4 separate regions of the Mus musculus genome follow, and regions 1, 2 and 3 are each reported to be linked to region 4. The links are microRNA targets in miRTarBase. Many come from high-throughput screens and were not tested one by one. Region 4 holds a microRNA gene; each other region holds the end of a gene's coding sequence.

Region 1 (5,062 bases), not on the chromosome of region 4:
TTTAGATACTCAAGTGGTACTCAGAAGCAGAGAGAAAGCAGGCTTACTTTTTGGAGGCGTGTACTGTGGACAGTAGTGAAGACAGCCTATACCAGCACTTCCTGCCTATGGGGTGACAGGGCTACGTACTAACCTCAGAGCTGATGAGTTAGGTGTGTGTTGAGTTTTGCTCACTCCTGTGCGTTCATCTCGGAATGCAGGTGATAACAACACTTAGCATTTTTTTATTATTTTTTTTTAATTAGGTATTTTCTTAAATACAGGGGAACACCAGGGCCAAGAAGTGAAAGTGGGTGGGTAGGGGAGTGGGGTGGGGTGGGGTGGGGGAGGGTATGGGGGACTTTTGGGATAGCATTTGAAATGTAAATGAAGTAACTACTTAATAAAATATTGGAAAAAAAGAAATGTAAATGAAGAAAATATCTAATAAAATTTTTTTTAAAAAAAGAAAGAAAAGAGTGCAGTGGGAATGGCAAATGAGTTGCAACTTGTTTTTCTGCACCTTGATGGCTACTTAGAAGCAAGAGTTTCTTGTTAATAGCAGTGCATCTCTCATGTTGTTTCCTCTCAAAGCTATGAAGAAGGGAATTTTGAAAAGGCTGCTGAACTGTACAAAAGGGCAATGGAGATAAAAGAAGCAGAGACATCACTTTTGGGTGGAAAAGCTCCTTCAAGGCAGTCATCAAGTGGAGACACATTTCTCTTTAAAACAACTCATTCCCCTAACGTTTTTCTTCCCCAAGGGCAAAGCTAACCGTCAATTCTTTGCAAGGATACTTCAAGATAAAACAGCTAAACATCTGGAATATTCTCAGTGTTTTTAAAGAAAATCTTTTTTTTCCATCTTAGTGTTATTTAGCTGGCATTTATATGACGTTGTATTGAGTTGCATTGAATTGTCGTGTCAAGTTTAAATTGATTAAAGAACCTGTTTCCTATGGGATAAAATCCAGGATGACGACATCAGCACTCAGTGGCATGAGGAGTGGCTTGGTCTCTGCAACAAGAGCTGGCAGGACCCCATGGTTTAAGAAATCCACAGTTCTTTTCTCTCCCTCAAGAGCAGCCTTAGCTCTGGCCATTCACTGTCTGTTCCTAGCAGGGCTCTGAGCCAGTTCTCTACCTCAAAGAACTTTCAAGGGCTAAAGGGATGTTGATAATATAAATAATATAAAGGGATGTTGATAATGAGTCGGAACAGTCTTCAGTGAAACGAGCTAGATAGGAACTCTGTTTGTTTTCCTTTTTCTGGGTTTGTGTGTGAGGATGTGCGCGCGCGCGCACACACACACACACACACACACACACACGTGTGCATGTACACATGGAGGACAGAGGTCAGCCTTGGGTATCATTCCTCAGGCGCTGTCCACCGTGACTTGTTTTTGTTTTTGGTTTTTGAGACAGGGTCTCAGTGACCTGGTGCCCTTAATTAGTCTGCCTGGCAGTCCACATCCTAGTGACCCACACCCCTGCCTCTCTCTCCTAAGACCGGAGCACAAGCTTCCATCTCTACCCCCAGTTCTCTAAAGTGGGCTCTGGGGGTTGAACTTGGGTCCTTATGCTGACATGGCAGACGCTTCACAAACTGAGCTATCACCCTAGCCTCTTACCACATTGTGAATCTCTGTAGCTCGGGGTGACCATGAACTCTTGATCACTCCCCACTCCCCCGGAGTGTTGGGACCACAGAGGCATGCCTCCACAGCTGGCTTGGCTTTTAGGCCTTCCTCTTCCCTAAGCTGGTTTAGCCAGCCTCCGCTTTCTGTGCTGTCTCCAGGAAGCTTCTCACAGTGCTGCAGCGTCGCCAGTGACAACATGCGTGCCACCACAGGTGCCAGTGACGACATGCGTGCCACCACAGGTGCCAGGCTCTTTACCATTCTCATCTTGCTTACTGTGGGACAGGTCTAAAAAGTCAACTACTCGTGAGCTGAGGCACAGGTTTTCAAGGTCAGTACCAGCTTAGAGTATGGGGTGAGTTCAAGGCCAGCCTGGGCACCTTAGTGAGACCTTGTCACAAAATAGAATAGAGCTGAAGGCACAGCAGTAGAATGCCTCGGACCCTGGGTTTAGTCCTCAGCACACACACACATACAAAAAGCCATGACAAATCCATTTCCTTCGTAAATGGTCAAAATCAGTCTTGCCTTACCTCGCTTAGTTGGTGTTTTTATACTGGAAATTAAATATTTTTATAGATTTGATAAATATTGCCACATTTTAGATATTTGTTTTTATTTGTATATAGTAAAATTTTCAATGATTTAAAATCTTATAAGATCTCAATATGTATTATTGTAAAGATGACAGGCATAAAAAATGTATGTTTTAAAATAAAAGTGTAATTGCAAGTTCTCTCATTTTGCAGTCTGTATTAGAGGGCTATTTTGCATAGTTATTTAAGAATAAACTTTGAACATGTTTCAGCAGACTTGAATTTTGGCCAAGTTTAGTCAATAGTTTGCTCAACTTGAAGAACTGTGGTGACCTCAGGGTGTGCCCAGTGTCACCAACTCCTGGTGGATGCAGAAGCCAGTATCATCACCAGCCAACACTTACTTACAATTTAGACGTAACCTTGAGGTCCCTCCCTGAGCCCGCTCAGAAGCAGCCTGAGAGCTAGGTGGCCAGGTCAGTCCTGCCAAAGCTTTGAGTTTAGGAAGCGTCGCTAAAGTCTACACACTTGTAAGTTAAATTAGACAGGACATGACAAAATGAGCTTTCTTCTTCCACCTTCTGAGGGAGGCTCAGAGGAACTAAAAAGCTAAAATATGACCATAACCTATCTTTGGAGTTTGCCCCCTCTGAAAGGTACAAATAACAGAATTCATAAGCATATTAGACATTGATTTTTACAACTAATATATCAAAGCTTAAAATCTATTTCATGACTAATGTAATACACTAAAAGTATAGTATTAATCACCTTTTTAAAAAAAAAACTTTAAATAATCTGTGACCAGTACTCTAAAAGACTCTTCAAATCAGCATAGTCTTTGTTCTTCTAAAACTTAGATCTGAGAATTATACAAAATATTTTAGAAACTGCAGTGATATCTCATTGACTTTATGGTACAAATGATAACAGAAGTGGTCACTAAATTACATATTTCCTTTTTTTCTAAATTAAACATTCAAATTTAGTACATAATAAGATCATGATTTTACCATTTATTGCACTAACTGTGTTCTTTGCCTCATGAGAATGCTAAGAGCACCTGCACCAGACATTTGTGTGAGGATGTGTGATTCCCAAGCAGTAGGATACGCTCCCATTAACAGATACTTGCTTCACATATATTGGTGTTAGCATAGATGTGATTCTCAGATTGTGTTCATGCTAACATACACCCCCCACACACAGTGAAATGGTAATTTTCAGACACTCCCTAATAAAGAGCTGGCAGGAACCAAACTTTGCTCTAAGTTGTCTTCAGTACTTGACAGAAGGGGAATCATGAAAAGCAGAATTGTCACCTGGGGAGGTCAAGGCTTCTCTGACATAAAGTAGCTGCCTTTTCCTCTGGTTCTACATTTGTGGGTGTCCAGGATGATGAGAAGAAACCCCAAAGATCTGCGCGGAGCCACAGATCACCTTTCTGCTAGCAGTAAGGAGCCAAAGCTGTGACGGGCTTTACTGCCTAGACTCAGACTCTAGAGTCAGTGCTAAGACGGTGAGGGACTCCTTGCCTTTGTTAGGACCCAGTGTGTAGAAATTCAGCTGAACGGCTAGAAGCTCTCTGACAATTCTCATCCACTGCCTGCTGGCCCTCGGGCTCTGTGGCTGCAGGCTACAGGGAGAACTCTATTGGCTCACAGGTGCCTGCTGCCTACTTGGTTTTGTTTGTTTGTTTGCTTGCTTGCTTGCTTGAGATAACCCAGTAGTGAACTACTGGGTAAGAGGGAAAAAAAGAAGAAGAAAAAAGAGAGATACATTAGAATTTGGTACAGAAAGCAGATCTTTAAAGGATGATGGATCCTATGTGTTATGCCTTAACAAAACCTGAAAGTTCAAGACTTGATTAAACCTTAGAAAATTCATGGACCATTAATTCTAAAGAATTATTCTAGAAAAAAATGTACCTCATCTTAAAATTTACAACATGTCTAGTGATTTAAAGTTATTCTCCAATCCAATATGCTTAAGTTCTGTTAAAACATTTGTAAAAATTTATCATGGCAACATAAATGTTAAGTTTCAAAGCTAGAAGCATTCAACTTCATTATAAATATAAAAATCACCTATAGAGGCAGGCTCGTGGACCAGTGACACCCAGAAATTAAAGAGTTTTTTGGGACCTGGGAGGTCACAGACAGCTGTTCAGTGGCTGTCATCATGCCACAAAATGAATATACTGTATTGCACCGCAAACAATATGGATATCGTTCGGACTACCATGAGAAAAAGAGAAAGAAAGAAAGGTTGGGAGGCCCATGAGCATTCAAAGAAGGCAAAGCTTTACCATAAAACAGCGCCATGCCCAAAAAATACAAGTGAAAAAAAACTATTAAGATGCATGAAAAGAGAAACACCAAGCAGAGAGAGGGATGATGGGAAGACTCCACAGGGAGCAGTCCCCGCCTGTCTGCTGGACAGAGAGGGGCAGTCCAGAGCAGAAGTACTTCCCAACAGGATTAAGCAGAAACAAAAAGGAAAGGTGGGAAAATGGAAGGTCCCTCTCCCAAAGTTCGTGCCCAAAGAGAAACAGAAGTATTGAAAGTTATTCAAACAGGAAAAAGGAAAAAGAGGGCATGGAAGAGAACGGTTACTAACGTCTGTTTTGTTGGTGATGGCTTTACAAGAAAACCACCTAAGTATGAAAGATTCATTAGGCCTATGGGTCTACGTTTTTAAAAAGCCCATGTCACGTACCCTGGGCTAAAAGCCACCTTTTGCCTGCCTATACTTGGTGTGAAAAAGAATCCATCATCCCCATTATATACAACCCTGGGTGTGATCACCAGTGAAGTGAATGTGAAGGGTGCACCAATGCGGTCTTGCTGGTTTGACAGTGACGTCACTCATACACGTCATTCCACTCAATCCCGAAGACCACAC
Region 2 (5,062 bases), not on the chromosome of region 4:
TAAACTTTTTTTTATTTTTATGTACGCGTATGTGTGAATGTAGGCCGAGTGTGTATACATACCCGTGGAGTCCAGAGAGGGTGCTGGATCCCAGCTGTAACTTGTGAGCTTCCCCGTGAGGATCCTGGGAACTGAGTGTGGGTCCTCTTACAGGCAAGCAAGTCCTCTTAACTTCTGAGTCCCCAACATTAGATACTTCTTGTCAGTTTTGAGCTGTCATTTATACTGGTTGCCTAGGAAAACAAATTCCTTTTCAGGGCCGGGTGTGTGGCTCAGTGGAAGAGCAGGCAACTCTTGAGTTCCATAGCGACACCAGAGACTAGAAGAGTGCTCTGGCCAGCGAGCTTTCATCATATGCTATCCCCAGAGACTTGGATTATACCATACAGCTCAGGTTGCTATAGAAACCTCAGATGCTCTCTTGGATGGGATGAAGTTTGCTGGCTTGATAGAGACAAGTGGCTCACCTCTTTGTCCCCCACTCTGCTCTCTTTCAGGAGATTTGTACACCCAGGCAGCTGAGGCAGCAATGGAAGCCATGAAGGGCCGGCTAGCCAACCAGTACTACGAGAAGGCGGAAGAGGCCTGGGCCCAGATGGAGGAATAACTGCCCCACAGAATCACTGCCAAGGAGAAAGGCTGGGGAAGGGAGGATGGGACTCATTTCTAGGGAGGGGAGAAGCAGTTTTATTATGGTATAAACTCACTTTTGTATTCCGTTTTCTCACTCTTGATAGCCTTTGCAGCTGGCCGAGACATTATAACTGCCCTTTTAGTGGTGGTACTTTGGGGGAAGTGGGGGGTTGAAGATGCAGCCTAATGAGTCTCTTTCCCGTCCTCCACCCCCCGGTTTTCCCTTTTTCATCCTGAGATGTAAGCAAGTATCTTTCTGTCTGGATGATCAGACAGTATCAGGGCTTCTCTCGCCAGCCTTTGCAGGCAGGACTCACATCTCAGGGTCTCCAGGCCATGTGCTGGGAAACCTTTCTATTGGCTTTCCACAATGGGTCTTTCTTTCAGTTTTGAGAGCGGTATGTTGTTTTTTTGTTTGTTTCCTCCAGTGGATGTGAGATGGTTCAATACCCAGGCTCCTTCATGCTGGGGGAGATAGTTGTATAACTTTCACTTAATGCCCTTCCACTGGACATGTGATTCCTGGCATCCTTCTAAATTTTTTTTTTTTAGACCTGCTATGTAATATAGATTTTTCAAAAACAGGTTTGGCCTTTATACATGCGTATTTACTACCTCTGAGTCTTGCATTGGGGGTGTGGAAGCAGCTGTACCTCAAAGCATTCACAGTAAGACCATGGCTTAGGAGCTGGGCAACTTTCCTCCAAACAGAAGTGCCCTCTGTACACCATGGCCACATCCACTACGTGACTGAAGCATCCTTGTGCAGAATTCCATGGCCGTTTGGCCGTTTCTTAATGTGATGTTTCTTGGACTCCGCCCTCAGCCTGCTGTCCTTGTCATTTTCTGCTTGAGACTAGGTTTTCCTTACTTAACACGAGGTCATCTGCAGCAAGCGGCCTCCAGCTGCAGCCCCTTGGGATTTGTCTAAGATGTTTGAGAATGAGGGGACAAGAGTCTAAACACTGACTGGGTTAGGACATTTCCCCAGGGTCAGTCTGGGACTTTGATGAGCTTCCTCTTTAAAAGGAGTTCAGATTTCATGGGAGTGCTATTCCAGCCACAGGGAAATGGCCCGCTTTGATTTGACCACTGATATTAGATCTACCGCCTCTATCTTTGCTTAAAAAACAGAACAGCAGAGTGGGACATGCAAGCCATCCTCACCTGTTGGCTAAAACAGGCCTTTTAAGGATTTCACTATTGAGTTTGCCCAATCAAAAACTTGTAGAAGCAGTAGATTGTAAAGTCTAGGGTGTATGTTCTTTGAGGGAAAAATCAGAGTCAGTTTAACCTTGGGGGCTGGAGGCCATGGTATACATCTGTAATCCCAGCATTCAGGTGGTAGAGGCAGAAGGATCAAAGTTTGAGACCAGCCTAGGCTATGTAATGAGACCCTGCCCCCAAAAAACAAACAAGGAAAAGAGCCAGTTAGATGGCTCATGGATGAAGCTCCTGCCGACCCTCACCTGACAATCTGAGTTCTGTTCTTGGGACCCACGCGTGGAAGCAGGGAACAAACTCCTGCAAGTTGTCTTCTGATCTTCACTTGTGTGCTGTGTCCCGAGAGAGCCCCCATACACACACACACACACACACACACACACACACACACACACACACACACACAAACAACAGTAAGAGAAATGAGATAGCAAAAACTACCCTTGAAAATTCCTTTCATCTACCTGCAAGTTCCAAAATCCCTGGATTTGCATTTGAAGCCATAACTTCTGATTCTCTCTGACAGATTGGCCCTTGTCCGTTTTTTTGTTTTTGTTTTTGTTTTTTAATTAGTACCAGAACAGTAGCTGGTTTGCGTTGTCCTGTGGGTGTTCTAACATAGTGTATATGTTAAACATAAGAAGCAGTTTATTGTGACATAATCTCTCAGAGTAACTGTCATATAAGTTGTGGTGTGTGTGTGTGTGTGTGCTGGTCAGCAGACAACCTCAATTTTGTTCCTCAGGAGCTGGCCACCTTTTTCCATTGAGTCTCTCACTGGCCTAGAACTTGCCAAATAGGCTCTGCTGGCTGACCAGTGAACTCCAGAGATCTGTCTGTCTTATCCTTTCTAATTCTGGAATTGTAAACTCGAATCCTTCACTCATTGATTAGTCCTTGTCTGGATCACTTAAAGCCTCAGGCCTGCAGTTCCCCCAACCACGTGGCCTTCATGTGGAGAAGTGGTCTCTTTCTCCTCCAAGAGACTGGGATAGCCTGGTGCACAGCTAAGCAAATGCCTCTTTAAGGACCCTTGCGAATGAAAAGAGAGCTTGGAGAGCCTGCTGGGTAATATTGCCACTTGGAGGCTGAAGCAGGATTGTGAGTTTGGAGCCAGCCTGGGCTATTTACTAAGACTGTGTCTCAAAAAGAAAAAGCCCTGGAAACTGGAGAGATGCCTCAGTGGTTAAGATCATTGGCTGCTCTTCCAGATGACCCAGGTTCAATTCCCAGCACCCACATGGCAGCTCACACCTGTCTGTAATTCCAGTTTTAAGGATCCGATGCTCTCCCACAACCATGCAGGCCAAACGCCGATGGACATAAAAATAAATCATAAAAAAAAAAAATAGTTCAAACCTGTAATCTCAGCACAGCACTTGGGAGGCTAAAATGGAAGGGTCACTGGGAGTTTTATGCCAGATTGGGCTACATCATGACTTCCACATAAGCCTAAGTTACAGAGTGAGATTCTGTCTTTAAAATTAATGGCTGTTTCTCCTTCCAAACTTAGTCTTAGACCTTCAAAAGCTGGTCAGGGCATCTTCTCTTTCCATATAGGCTGGGCATGACAAGAACAAGCCGACAGGATTCAGCTCTGGCAGGGAGACGCCAGTGCCTGGCACTGATGATCAGTTCTGTCTTCCAGTGCTCAAAGCAGGTAACAGCCTCGATTAACAGAGCTGATATGCGTGCTTTCATCTCAGAGACAGAAACCAGGCTACAGTGGTGCTGTTCCTTGAGGCTGAGCTGGAGCTAGGGGCCAGAGAGCTGCTGTTTCCAGAGCACTCTAGGAATAAAGACATTTAACTGTACTGTGATGGCGCATTCCATTTTGCAACAGGTATCAGGGAAATTTCAATGAGACAGGATTAGAGTATGTGCTTAGCATACAGCCAAGGTCCTGGGTCTGGGCCCCAGCACTGCAAGGAAAATATACAAGCTTTATGAGTGTAAAAAAGAAACATTCTCCAACTCACTACTTCAGAAGAATCCTGCTCTCTGCACGCTGGGCCAGCCTTGGCTACTTAGTGATTTCCCCATCTGTCCTTGCTGACCGTCATCCCAGCATCTTTGTATCAGTAAGTGTGGTTTGCAGATTCACAAACGTTTGCACAGGTCTGTGCAGCTCGAGATGGAAGTGAATCGGGGGCGGGGGGAGGGTACAAATTTACCCATTCCCTGCTTGGATTTGTGCCTCTTCCTTAACGTTTTGTCTCTGACCTCAAGGCAACTGGCTGAAGTGTGGCTGCAATTGTGTGTGTATCAGATTTTAGCTTCTCTTCCCCAACAGTTTGGGTTTTTTTCTGAAATATCTCAAACTCACACATTCCCCCTCCCTATGAAAACATACAAATCAAGAAATGAGTATGTATCTACATGGAGGCTGAAGTGAGCCGCAGCGTGCATGGATCGAAGAGCGGATGTGCTCACCTTCAACATGAGCTCCATCGCCCACAGTGTGGGCCCAACGTGGTCCCATGCTGGCTTTTCACAGTAGAAAAACTTCTTAATATGATAGCCATTGGTTTTTAACATCTGTAATAAATTCCAATAAAGAAAGCCTTTCCGACCTGGCCCTTACGCTATCAGTTTGCTTTAGAGTAAAATAGTGGATGCAGGGGCTGGAGAGATGGCTCAGCAGTTAGGAGCACTGACTGCTAATTACAGAGGACCTGGACTCCACTCCCAGCACCCACATTGGCAGCTCATAACTGTAACTCCAGTTCCAGGGGATCCGACATCCTCACCCAGAAATGCATGCAAGCAAAACACCAGTGCACATAAAATAAAATAGAATCAAAATGTGGATGCTTTTGATTTGTCCCGCTATAAAACAGTCATTCCCTCTGCAGGTTTGTCATGAGCTGCTGAGAAAATCCTGCGCACTTGGTGCTTTGAAGCTCGTGGAGAGCTGCAGAGCTGTCTGGCGTGGGCATTTGGATTCAAGATAATTGTTTGTTTGGTTGGGTTTAAAGAAATTTGAGTTTTAACTCCATGACAGTAGATCATGTACATTTAAGTCAATATCCCCAATGATAGGAGATTTTAAAAAATTGTTTTTGAGACAAGCTCATAAAGATGAAGCCAAAGGTGTGAACAACAAAAGTCTGGAGATAGGGAAATGCATGGCCAAGAACCCTGGATCCAAAATCCAGGGTTTGGGGGCTTCATTGACTAACCCCAGCACTGCAGAAGCTGGAGA
Region 3 (5,062 bases), not on the chromosome of region 4:
GAACAGAGAAGGAGAGACGCTCTCTCAGGGCCCTCCCACACTGGACAAGGTGTTCTTCCCGATGTCTCCAGGAAGCCTCTTCCCATATTCCTGCCCCAGCTCTTGCCACGTCCAGGCCCCACCTCACTGCCTCCTCCTCCTTGTCTTTCTGTAGTCAGCAAGCGGACCCTCTTTTTAGTAAATGTAACTGGTGCCAAGGAGGAATCTCTGGTTCTCAAGCAAGAACTTGACTCTAACTCACTCAGATCTCTTCCCAGAGGAGCCTGGGAAAGAATAGAGGGCCTGTTCAATCCGAATCCCAACCACTATCAGAAAGAGTAGCGCTCCCCAGGGCCGGGAAAGGCACCTCGTGAGTACAAAGCCTCTTTCTCAGCCGTCCACCCGCAGCTTGGCTCTCCTCTCCACAATCAGTTTAGGCCACCTTGCTTAAGCAGTGCGAGATGACAGGGTTGGTGTCATGTGATGGGAAACTAAGAAGGAGAAAAACTTATACAGAGGTTCCAGCTTGAGAGAGGGAGATGGGGGTGAAGACAAGCAGGCTAATGTGGCAGAGCCAGCAGGCAGGGGCATTAAAGACAACGGTGTAAGTCCCACCCTCTAACCGGAGTGATACAGGTGCTGTTTAAGAGGTAGAAAACCTCAAATGAGACCAAATGCCTGGTGGGAGAACCAGGAGTCCACATGCAAAATCGCTGAACAGACTCAGAGCCTCAGAGAAAAGCAACCGAATGCTCCACTTCTGAAAGAGAGTCGCCTGGTCTCCTTTGGGGGCCAGTGGCCCTCATTCCCACACTAAGCCCTCCTACCTACCCAGCTCTCCTGCGCTGGGTTTCTACAGCTGTATTGTTCTGCGGCTGTGGTTACTTAACCCCACAGCTTCTGAGCTATGGTAGACTTCACTAACTGTGCACCCTAGAGCAATCCCACTGGGTCTGTTCTAGCTGGGACGAGCATCGTTATCCCCGTATTACTGTTATAAATAGCCACCTAGGAAAATAATAAAGAATGCTTGTTCTCGGCTCCTGTGGTCGGCTCCAGCTTATTGATACTGGTGGTTTTCTTTGTCAACAGAGGGACAGCAGACAGAGCAGTGCCTGCTCCAAGGCCTGCTCCCTGTACCTGATAGGACTTGGGGTGCGGTAGGTCCAGCTTATTCTCTGCCGTGCTAACAGATGCTCTCTGCCTTGCTCTCCAGGCCAACCCTTCACATCTGGGCCCATTTGCTCAACTGGATTTGGTCCCAGAGGAAATGAAATTGCACTTATCCTTTGGCTTCCTGGTGGCAGCTATTGCTTAGCAGAGATTTAGGACCATCCAGAGACCCAGAGTCAGATCCATGGCCATGGGATGAAAGAGCTCATCTAAATCACTGTTTTTCATACATTCAAGAGAAATCAATGTTACCATGTACCTATTGAGTGAGCTCTTTTGTTTCTCTGCTTCTCTTCCCTGCTGGGATTAACTGCCTTCCTTCTTACTCCCCGGCTATGGATCCAGCTCAAAGCGCTTCTTATTTTGCCTTAATCCAGGGCTCAGGCAAATAGGATGTGTCCAAGCCTCACTTGGACAGTAATGCTGCAAAGTGATGCACATTTTAAGCCTGGAGGGTTGAGACTAAACAGGGTGAGACTGGCTGCCTCAGAATAGACACACACACACACACACACACACACGCTGTTATGAAAACACCAGGCTTGGGCCAGGAAGGTTGCTCAATGGGTAAAACTATCTGTGGTGCCAACTTAACAAAAATTCAGTTCCTAGAATCCACACTAGAAGGCAAAATCTGTCCTCTGACCTCGGTCTGAAAGTTGGCTCGTGCACACATTCACACTCAAACACTCCTGCACATTTAATAAATAAATAAATAAATGATAAATAATAACATTGATGAATGGATGATAACATCCCCCACTAAGGCCTCTCCTGTTTGCAGCTTCTCTGAGAAGGCAGGTTTGGAAAAACGACAGGTCATTTATTTCTGACCCAACTCCTGCTTCTTTTACCCTACTCTAGACAGACTAACTCTGACCTGAAGTGACAAAGAAAATTTTAGTCTGGAGAAAAATTAAGTATGAGAACTTAGGCTCTCATTTCTCCTGTGTTGTTGAACCTAGAGCCTCATACACACAGAAACCAAACCAAACCAAACCAAACCAAACCACTCTACCTACTAAGCTGTATCTCCAGCAGGCCGTTTTTAAACAAGAACTCAAAAGCACTATGAAGCAAGCCTGTGGCTGGAAAAGTAAGATTCCCCTTGTCATGCCCAGATCTCCCAGGACACTGAGCATCAACCCCTGACCCTCTTCTCCAAGCAGCCCCAGCAGAACAAGGACTGGGCTGCTGCACTGCACGCTGGCTTGCACTCTGGTCCTGGGCTGGAAGGCATAGCCAGCATCTTTGTGAGGTACAAGAAATCAGAACCGAATCTTACTGATTTCCCCCTAAGAATGAACCCTGGCTTGTCCTTGCTTCCTCCTAAACTTCCTACAGTGTTCTTTTCTCTTTAAGATAGGATCTCACTGGGCTGGAGAGATGGCTCAGTGGTTAAGAGCACTGGCTGTTCTTCTAGAGGTTCTGAGCTTATTTCCCAACAACCACATGGTGGCTCACAACCATCTGTAATGGGATCTGATGCCCTCTTCTGACACACAGATGTACATGCAGTTAGAGCACTCATACATTAAATAAATAAATCTTAAAAAAAAAACTCACTCTATAGCCCTGGCTCTCCTGGAACTCCTCATGTAGACTAGGTCAGCCTTGAACCCATAGATCCACCTGCCTCTGCCTGAGTGCTGGTACTCTTCCTTGGTAGTCTAGTCTAGCTGGGCGGGGACAAGTCCAATACCTAAAAATAAAATGCAGGCTGGGCATGGTAGTTCATACCTTCCATGAGAAGGATCACTGCATGTTTAAGGCAAGCCTGGGCTACATTTATCAAATTTCAGGCCTTCTCTCAAACAAAACAGAATACATAAAAGCTGAAGAACGGTCAGGCTTGTTAGTGCACACCTTTACTTCCAGCACTCAAGAGGCAGAGGCAAGCAGATTCCTCAGTTCAAGGCCAGCCTGGTCCAGGACAGAGGGCTATTACACAGAGAAACTCTGTCTGTGGCAGGGGTGGGAGTGGGGAAGCTAAAGACCAATCCCCCCCACTTTGATTTATATATAAAATAAGATAAAGTAATTTTAAGCTGGGTATGGTGTAGCACTCCTTTAATCTCAGGCAAAGGGGGAGGGAGGATGGGAGGCAGATCTCTATAAGGGAGGCTAGCCTGGTATACAAAGCAAGTTACAGGGATGTTACACAGAGAAACCTGAAGAAAAAAAAATTAAAACATCTATATTAAAGAGATCTTTTAAAGTAGTATTCTGGGATGGAAAGATGGCTCAGTAGCTAAGAATACTTGTTACAGGTTGGAGATGGCTCAGTGGGTAAGAACACTGACTGCTCTTCCAAAGGTCCCGAGTTCAAGTCCCAGGAACCACATGGTGGCTCACAACCATCTGTAATGGGATCCTCTTCTGGTGTGTCTGAAGACAGTGACGGTGCACTCACACACATAAAATAAATACATCTCAAAAAAAAAAAAAAGAATACCTGTTGCTCTTGCAGAAGACACAGATCCAGTTCCTAGCACCTGTGGTGGTTCACAACCATCCGTAACTCTAGTTCCAGGGGATCTGACACCCTCTTTGGACCTCCAAGGGCACCAGCCATGCGTGTAGTACATAAACACAGGTGCAGACAGAACACTCAGGCATATAAGATTAAGTGACTTTTAAACTGTGTGTTGCCAAGGATGGCATCTAGTTCCTGGTCCTCTTCTTGCCCCAACTTCCCACGTGGCAGGACTGTAGCAGGGTGCCCTAGTTTGTAGACACTCTAAGGTCTTCCCATCTAGAGTTCCTGGAAGCCGCATCACTTATAACTATACTGCTTTCCCATGCCTGACATCACAGAACCGCTCCGTCCCAGTCTGAACCAGGGAAAATGTACAGAACACACAGTTTATCCAACTCTTTGACAGTATTTTATTCCAAATGCTGACTCGGCCTATAATTAGAAAAAAGAAAGCTGTGGGTCTGATGCCACAGCTTGCTGCTGCTGGGAAAAGCCCAGTGTCGCGTTTGTTCTCTCTGCTGCTGCTTCTCATTTCACCTCAGAAGCTGAACATGGCTGTAAACAGAAGATGCTCCAAGGCGGGGCACCCCAGCCACCACCTGGCCACACAATCAGCCATGACTGTGAGGGGCTTGGGGGACTGCTGACCCAGGCAGGACAGGAGACAGCACGGGAAGCCTTCGGGGTACAGGTGGGTACAGGTGACTTTGCAGCCCCATCGGAACACCTCAGGAGTCTTTTTGTCTTTTTTCTTTTTGTTTTTTTTTCCTGAGACAGGGTTTCTCTGTGTAGCTCTGGTTGTCCTGCAACTTGCTCTGTAGACCAGACTGGCCTTGAACTCACAGAAATCCACCTGCCTCTGCCTTCTGAGTGCTGGGATTAAAGATGTTCACCACAACTGCTAGGCTCCTCAGGAGTCATTAACGCCATCAGGCTAGCTGAGGCTTCTGGGCCTCCCCTTGAGTCTCTTCGTACTCCTCCCAGGGTTTCAGCTGAGGACCAGGAATCATCAAGGTCTGAAAAGAACAGGAGGAACTCAAGTTACCTACCAATCCCACCTACTGTTTACCCAGGATGTCCTCCTCCCGCAGCAGCATCCAGGGAAAGTTCCCCTTCCCTAGAGCTGCATCACTCCGTCTCGCCACTAGGTGGAGCCTAAGAAGAGCGTTTGAGCTTGACAAGGCTATCTACATACAGCTTCAAGTTTGCTCTTAGAGCGTGCAAGCAGCCTTCTTTACCTTGAGGATGGGCTGCTTAGGGGGTGCCCACGCGGGCACAATCTTGGCATGCATTCTCCAGCTCCCATACGGGTTCATCAAGTGTCTTTCAAACACCACATATTCCAGGACATCCTTGGGCACATCTTCCTGTCCATACATCAATCTGCCAAACCGATCATAAATGGCCAAAGTCTGCAGTGAGGAAATAAAA
Region 4 (5,074 bases):
TCGGGCATCCGTGTCTAGCCGAGGGGAGGGGGTGGCGTGTGAGTGCGTGGAGGGTAAAAGCCAGTCAGTCAGTGAGAAGCAAAGGTACGTTGGAGAGCAACTAAAATCTGACTGATTTCCATCTTTGGAGCATCAGATGTATTCCCTAAGGAGGATGGGTCTCCGTGATGGGGGTGGTATAATTATGTTAATGTCATATTTATGGAGGGGTGAGATTTTTCATTCTAATAATTGGTTGAATGCTATGGTCAAAAATTGTAAAGCCATATTCAGTTTTAAGGAAAAAGCATGGACTTTTATCTAAGTACTGTTTTGTTTTATTTAATTTTATTTTTTTTCCTCTTTGCTTTTTGTGAATGCTGCTTTTTGGTTGTTTCTTTTGGTTTTGGTTTTATCTTTTTTTTTTCTTCTATAAAACTATTTATTTGGGGCCATAAGTGATTCAGTATGGGAAATCAAATGATAAACAGAAAGAGATCTTATATAATGATGCATTACATCACGGAACAGAATGCTTAAGTCTTACAAGGCAAAGTAAAGATCTGGGCAGGGGTGAAGGGGGGTGGTGGTTAGAAAGGGGTGTGGTACTAGGGTGGGGGAGGGGAACACTTAGCAAATATTTTGTTCAGCATAGCTTTCCTTGCAGCTTCCTGGAAATGGATGGTTCACCTGCCTAGAGGAAAACACTCTAAATCATTCCATTTCTCTCTCTCTCTCTCTCTCTCTCTCTCTCTCTCTCTCTCTCTCTCTCTCTCTCTCTCTCTCTCTCCCCCTCTCTCCTTTTCTAACCCCCCTGCTTTTCCCTTTTAAGATCAACCACTTCTGAAGAACCAGATTCCACTTCTGTGGCCAGGAGTTTTATGCTGTGCTAAGTGTGATTGTTTTGCCCTGCATTCTGTGCTACTAAACCTTGGATCATTCCTAAAGTCCAGATTCTGCTCTTTCACAACAAGGCGAAAAGATGGGAGAGAATTTGATGAATAGTCAGGATTGAGACTGTGTATTTTCAAAAGTATTGAACTATATAATGTAATTATTCAAAGTAAAGGATCTTTTTTTGTTTTCTTACTATGTTGCCAGGATTTTAAGTTAAAGCTTGTTAGGTGGTCTTGTTCAAATAACTATGAAGTGTGCATGAAAATATTTGCTGTCTGAATAGTTTGCATATTTAAAGAGAAAAATCAACATTAATAGGTATTAAATTATGACATATTCAAAGTTTTTGTTTAAATCTTATCTGTAATAATTTAAATGAGAGTTTGAAGTGTTGTATATCCTGGGCCCACAGTAACAGTTGTGATATATAAAACTTCAATAGAAGCAAAATATCAATTAGGGCCCCATTAACTGGCATATAATCCTTTTTTAGTGTAATAGAAGTGGGTGTTGCTGTAAAAATCTGCAAGGAGCATATTTTAACCCATTTTTGTCTCCTTCTTTGGATAGAATGGGGTGATTCTTAAATGTCCATTGTCTGCTTTGTTTTTCATGCCCCACATTACTGTAAGTTCTGATCTATAGGTGGCCGTCCTGATTATTCAGCTCATCTTTGACTTTCATGTGTTACTTATGTTTCTGTCTGTGTGTTTCAATTAGTATTTAGAAGATTAAAAATAAATGAACCCAACTCTAATTCCCAAGCTGTCCGTTTACCTGGAAGAAGAATTCTCCTGCATCACACGAGACTTTGCCTAGTCCCTGAGACCCTAACTTGTGAGGTATTTTAGTAACATCACAAGTCAGGTTCTTGGGACCTAGGCGGAGGGATACCAGCAGCTTGGGACCTTATTGATTCTCGGCATAAACCACCAGAACAAAAGAACAGGCATAGATTCTGCATAGGCGCAAAGAACAATGGTTTTCTTTCTAATCAGCAAGGGTTTCACCATGACAACACCCCCAAAATACAATCTTCAGAATCGGTACTCTAAAGATATGGCACAGTAGAATAGAAATAGCGTTTGTATTTACTGTGATTATCGTATAAAAGTGTTGTAAGAGATATGTACAAGAAGTAGAATTAAAACACAAGTTCTTTTTAAAAAAATAAACATCGCTTTGGGTGTGTTTTAAGATGAAGAAGATTCATTGTAAGAGTTGTTTATATTCATAAGTTTTTGTATGCGTAGAATTATATACATTAGTTATTTCAATAAATTATGCATGCTTCCATAGAACTGTGGCTTAGACTACGTCAAATGAGATTCTAATCATACTCGAGGCCTGAAAAAGAAACGATTTACAGTTTTCTTTATTGATCTTATTCTTGTTGATACTAATATGAGAGAATATTGTTTTATACATGGTAATTTTAGCCAGTGTTTCCTTAGTCTTTTGCCCACACATAACAGTATATATGTATGAACAACTGCCTTATTCTGAGATTCACAAAGTATATATTTAGGGAAAATACAGTGCTTTTGAATTTCTACATTTCACTTTGTGTGTGTTATAAAGCATTAGAGAATGCCTATGAACTCAGCTGCTCTTGTTCACATGTAAAACACGTCTGAGATGCAGGCTTTGATCAGAATTTTCATTACCAGAAGTAAATATTCCATCCATAGCCTGTGTGACTTATTAGTCAATGATACATTAAACATGTGTTTTTTTTGATCTATAATCAATAAATCTATTCCAAATATACAGTAACATTGCAGAAATTTAGGCTTAAAACAAGGTGGCTTTCATAACACAGGCAAGAGTGACTTTGGTGTTTTAACTCTGATGTTTCACCGTAAATTGTTTTCTCCATTAGTAAATAAACCTATGAATCTATTTTAGGATATCATGTGGAGTCTTTGTTCTGTTTTTGTTAAGGTTGTTACTATTGCTCATTACTTGAAATATCAAAAAAATGCAAAGCATCTTTATTGTTTCCTAAAAATAATATAATAGTATCATAAACACAGACTACGTTGAAGTTTGTGTTGATGTCGTATCAACACAAAGAATCTTTTTAGATTCTTTCCTGGCCTCACCCCTGTCATTTATCTAGAAGCTTTAAAATCTAAGTGTGTATATAAGCATGTTTTACGACTCCATGTGAAAGGAGTAAATATAAAGTCAGAACTTTTCTTTAATCACAAAGAACTCTATGTATGTGTATCTGTGAGCATCACACAAGCTTGATTCTATTTAACAGAAGCTTTACACAGATGATCAGAGAGGAGTGTGTTTACTAACACCTGTTTTATGATAATCATAAACGATATGCAAGTGTTACTTCATCAGTTGAAATCCACAATGAACTAGGGAATAATAGTAGTCAGCTATGATAGCAAAAAATTTAAATGTAAAGGTTTTCTGTTTATGCTATGATAATGAACAGTAGTATATATTAACTTAGATTTTATAGGAGAAAAAAATGCTAAAATAAATTTCACTTCTCCTGAACATCACATATATCATATATGATATACATCATGTATCTTGCAATTTTGAACATTCTCTGTGCAAAGCATGTGTTGTGTGAGAATACTACTCACAAACAAGTCTTATGCTATAAAGGTGTGTGTGTGTGTGTGTGTGTGTCTGTGTGTGTGTGTGTGTGTGTGTGTGTACATCAGACTTTGTTTCATAAGCTACTTTATGTTGTGTGTGAATGGATGTGACTATCTCTGCATTTCTCTCTCAGCTGTCACCAGATAATGCAGTTCTGTGGATTCATAATGTGACTTGGAAAACCAGATCATTCTAAGCTTAAAATAAACAAAAAGATAAACAACAAAGAGTGAGAAGATGATGTGGTTTGCATACAAAACGCAGTGATATTAGCAATCTGATGGCTTCTGGATTGGGAGAGCAGCCTGAGCCAGACGCATACATTAAGAGCTGTCTGCTGCCCATGTGAGCTTGCTCAGTGTATTGGAAATGAGGGATCACCTCTCCTCTGACACCAGCTTATTTGTACATTTTAATTTTGAAGTAGCAAGTCACTGTTCCAAGTTCATAGACTAACCCCTGCTTGTTTCTCTCTCTCTCTCTCTCTCTCTCTCTCTCTCTCTCTCTCTCTCTCTCTCTCTCTCTCTCTCTCTCTCTCTTATTGTTTGCTAAATTACTGTCAACTTCACATTCTTTTTAGAAATAAAAATCATTACTCAACTTAGCCATTTACTGCACACTAATGAAATAGTAGTTTTCCTTTGTCTCCGTTGTGTGCCTCTAACAATATTGTGATACCTGTGTTTTTAGGTTTAGATCTCTTTCAAGGGGAACTGGACTTATTTTTTTCTACATGACAATGTTTAAAGCATTTTAGAATCCATAAAGGAGACCATTTGGAATTTTGCCAGATCTTAATATGATTATATTTTCCTTTAGGATTCTCGAGATCAATATCACTCTCAGTTTAAAATTCCTAAACATTTCAGTCTTCCACTGACACAACAGAAGCGTAGACATATTCTTAAGTCATTTCATAATCTCCCAAGGAGGAATCTCCCAAGGAGTATCTCAGGGGAATTACAGTAAAAATTAATTATTAATGAAATTAGAAAAGGTGGGGCTTACCTTAAACTCATCTTCAAAATGGCATGCTGGTACACGTGCTAACCTTGAACGAATATATTTTAAATATGCAAATGACCTTGCAAGCTGTCATGTTTGGATGAGTTTATAGTATAGCAACATACAAAGGGGGGCTGAAGCTCAAGTTTCCTTGCCATTTTCACATGCAATGCAGCCTCCTTGTTCATAGGCAGCCAAGGAAGGCACAGTTTTGATGCCTGGATTCTTTTGTCTGATTTGTTAGTAGACTTTTAATTCAGTATTCAAATCCCACTGATCCCTAAGTGACTGCATCTGAAAAAAAGCAAGCAAGTTTCCAAATATAGATGAGTTTAAAAAAAAAAGAAAAAGAAAAAGAAAATCTTGAGAGTTTGTAAACATTTGAAAATAAAGTTTTTCCCTGTAGCTCTGCAAATACATAATTAGTAGGCTGAAATTCAGTTGCTATTTTTTAACCTATGCATCAGTTTCATGTTTAGTGTCCTTATCCATCAATGATCAAATAGTCATTAGTGTGTGTGTGTGTGTGTGTGTGTGTGTGTGTGTGTGTGTGTCTGTCTACAAG

Evidence for each region. The annotated mature microRNA mmu-miR-125b-2-3p reads ACAAGUCAGGUUCUUGGGACCU and lies in region 4 at 1,735-1,756, shown strand. An mRNA with a match to its seed (bases 2 to 7 or 8) in the 3' UTR can be bound and repressed. Matches are read on the target gene's strand: a 7mer-m8 pairs with bases 2 to 8, a 7mer-A1 pairs with bases 2 to 7 and ends in A, and an 8mer does both.
Region 1: the mRNA of Nphp3 is a reported target of mmu-miR-125b-2-3p. Seed matches in the 3' UTR shown: 7mer-m8 at 1,376-1,382.
Region 2: miRTarBase lists Eef2k as a target of mmu-miR-125b-2-3p. The part of its 3' UTR that is shown has no 7-base or 8-base seed match.
Region 3: miRTarBase lists Mrpl45 as a target of mmu-miR-125b-2-3p. Seed matches in the 3' UTR shown: 7mer-A1 at 3,478-3,484.

The regions. Positions count from the first base shown.
Region 1 is chr9:104,041,379-104,046,440 of GRCm38, forward strand. It overlaps Nphp3 (nephronophthisis 3 (adolescent)), which reads left to right. Exons shown (of 27, transcript NM_028721.3): 27 at 574-2,433. The coding sequence ends at 754. It also overlaps the pseudogene Gm18998. Among named protein-coding and RNA genes, the nearest start is that of Uba5, 19 kb to the right of the region's middle.
Region 2 is chr7:120,902,785-120,907,846 of GRCm38, forward strand. It overlaps Eef2k (eukaryotic elongation factor-2 kinase), which reads left to right. Exons shown (of 18, transcript NM_007908.4): 18 at 498-4,435. The coding sequence ends at 607. Among named protein-coding and RNA genes, the nearest start is that of n-TLaag4, 12 kb to the right of the region's middle.
Region 3 is chr11:97,328,067-97,333,128 of GRCm38, reverse strand. Mrpl45 (mitochondrial ribosomal protein L45) reads right to left here. Exons shown (of 8, transcript NM_025927.4): 7 at 4,870-5,043; 8 at 3,209-4,647. The coding sequence ends at 4,561. It overlaps Gpr179 (G protein-coupled receptor 179), which reads left to right. Exons shown (of 12, transcript NM_001081220.2): 12 at 1-1,019. Among named protein-coding and RNA genes, the nearest start is that of Mrpl45, 15 kb to the right of the region's middle.
Region 4 is chr16:77,644,584-77,649,657 of GRCm38, forward strand. Mir125b-2 (microRNA 125b-2) reads left to right here and starts at 1,690; the gene lies at 1,690-1,760.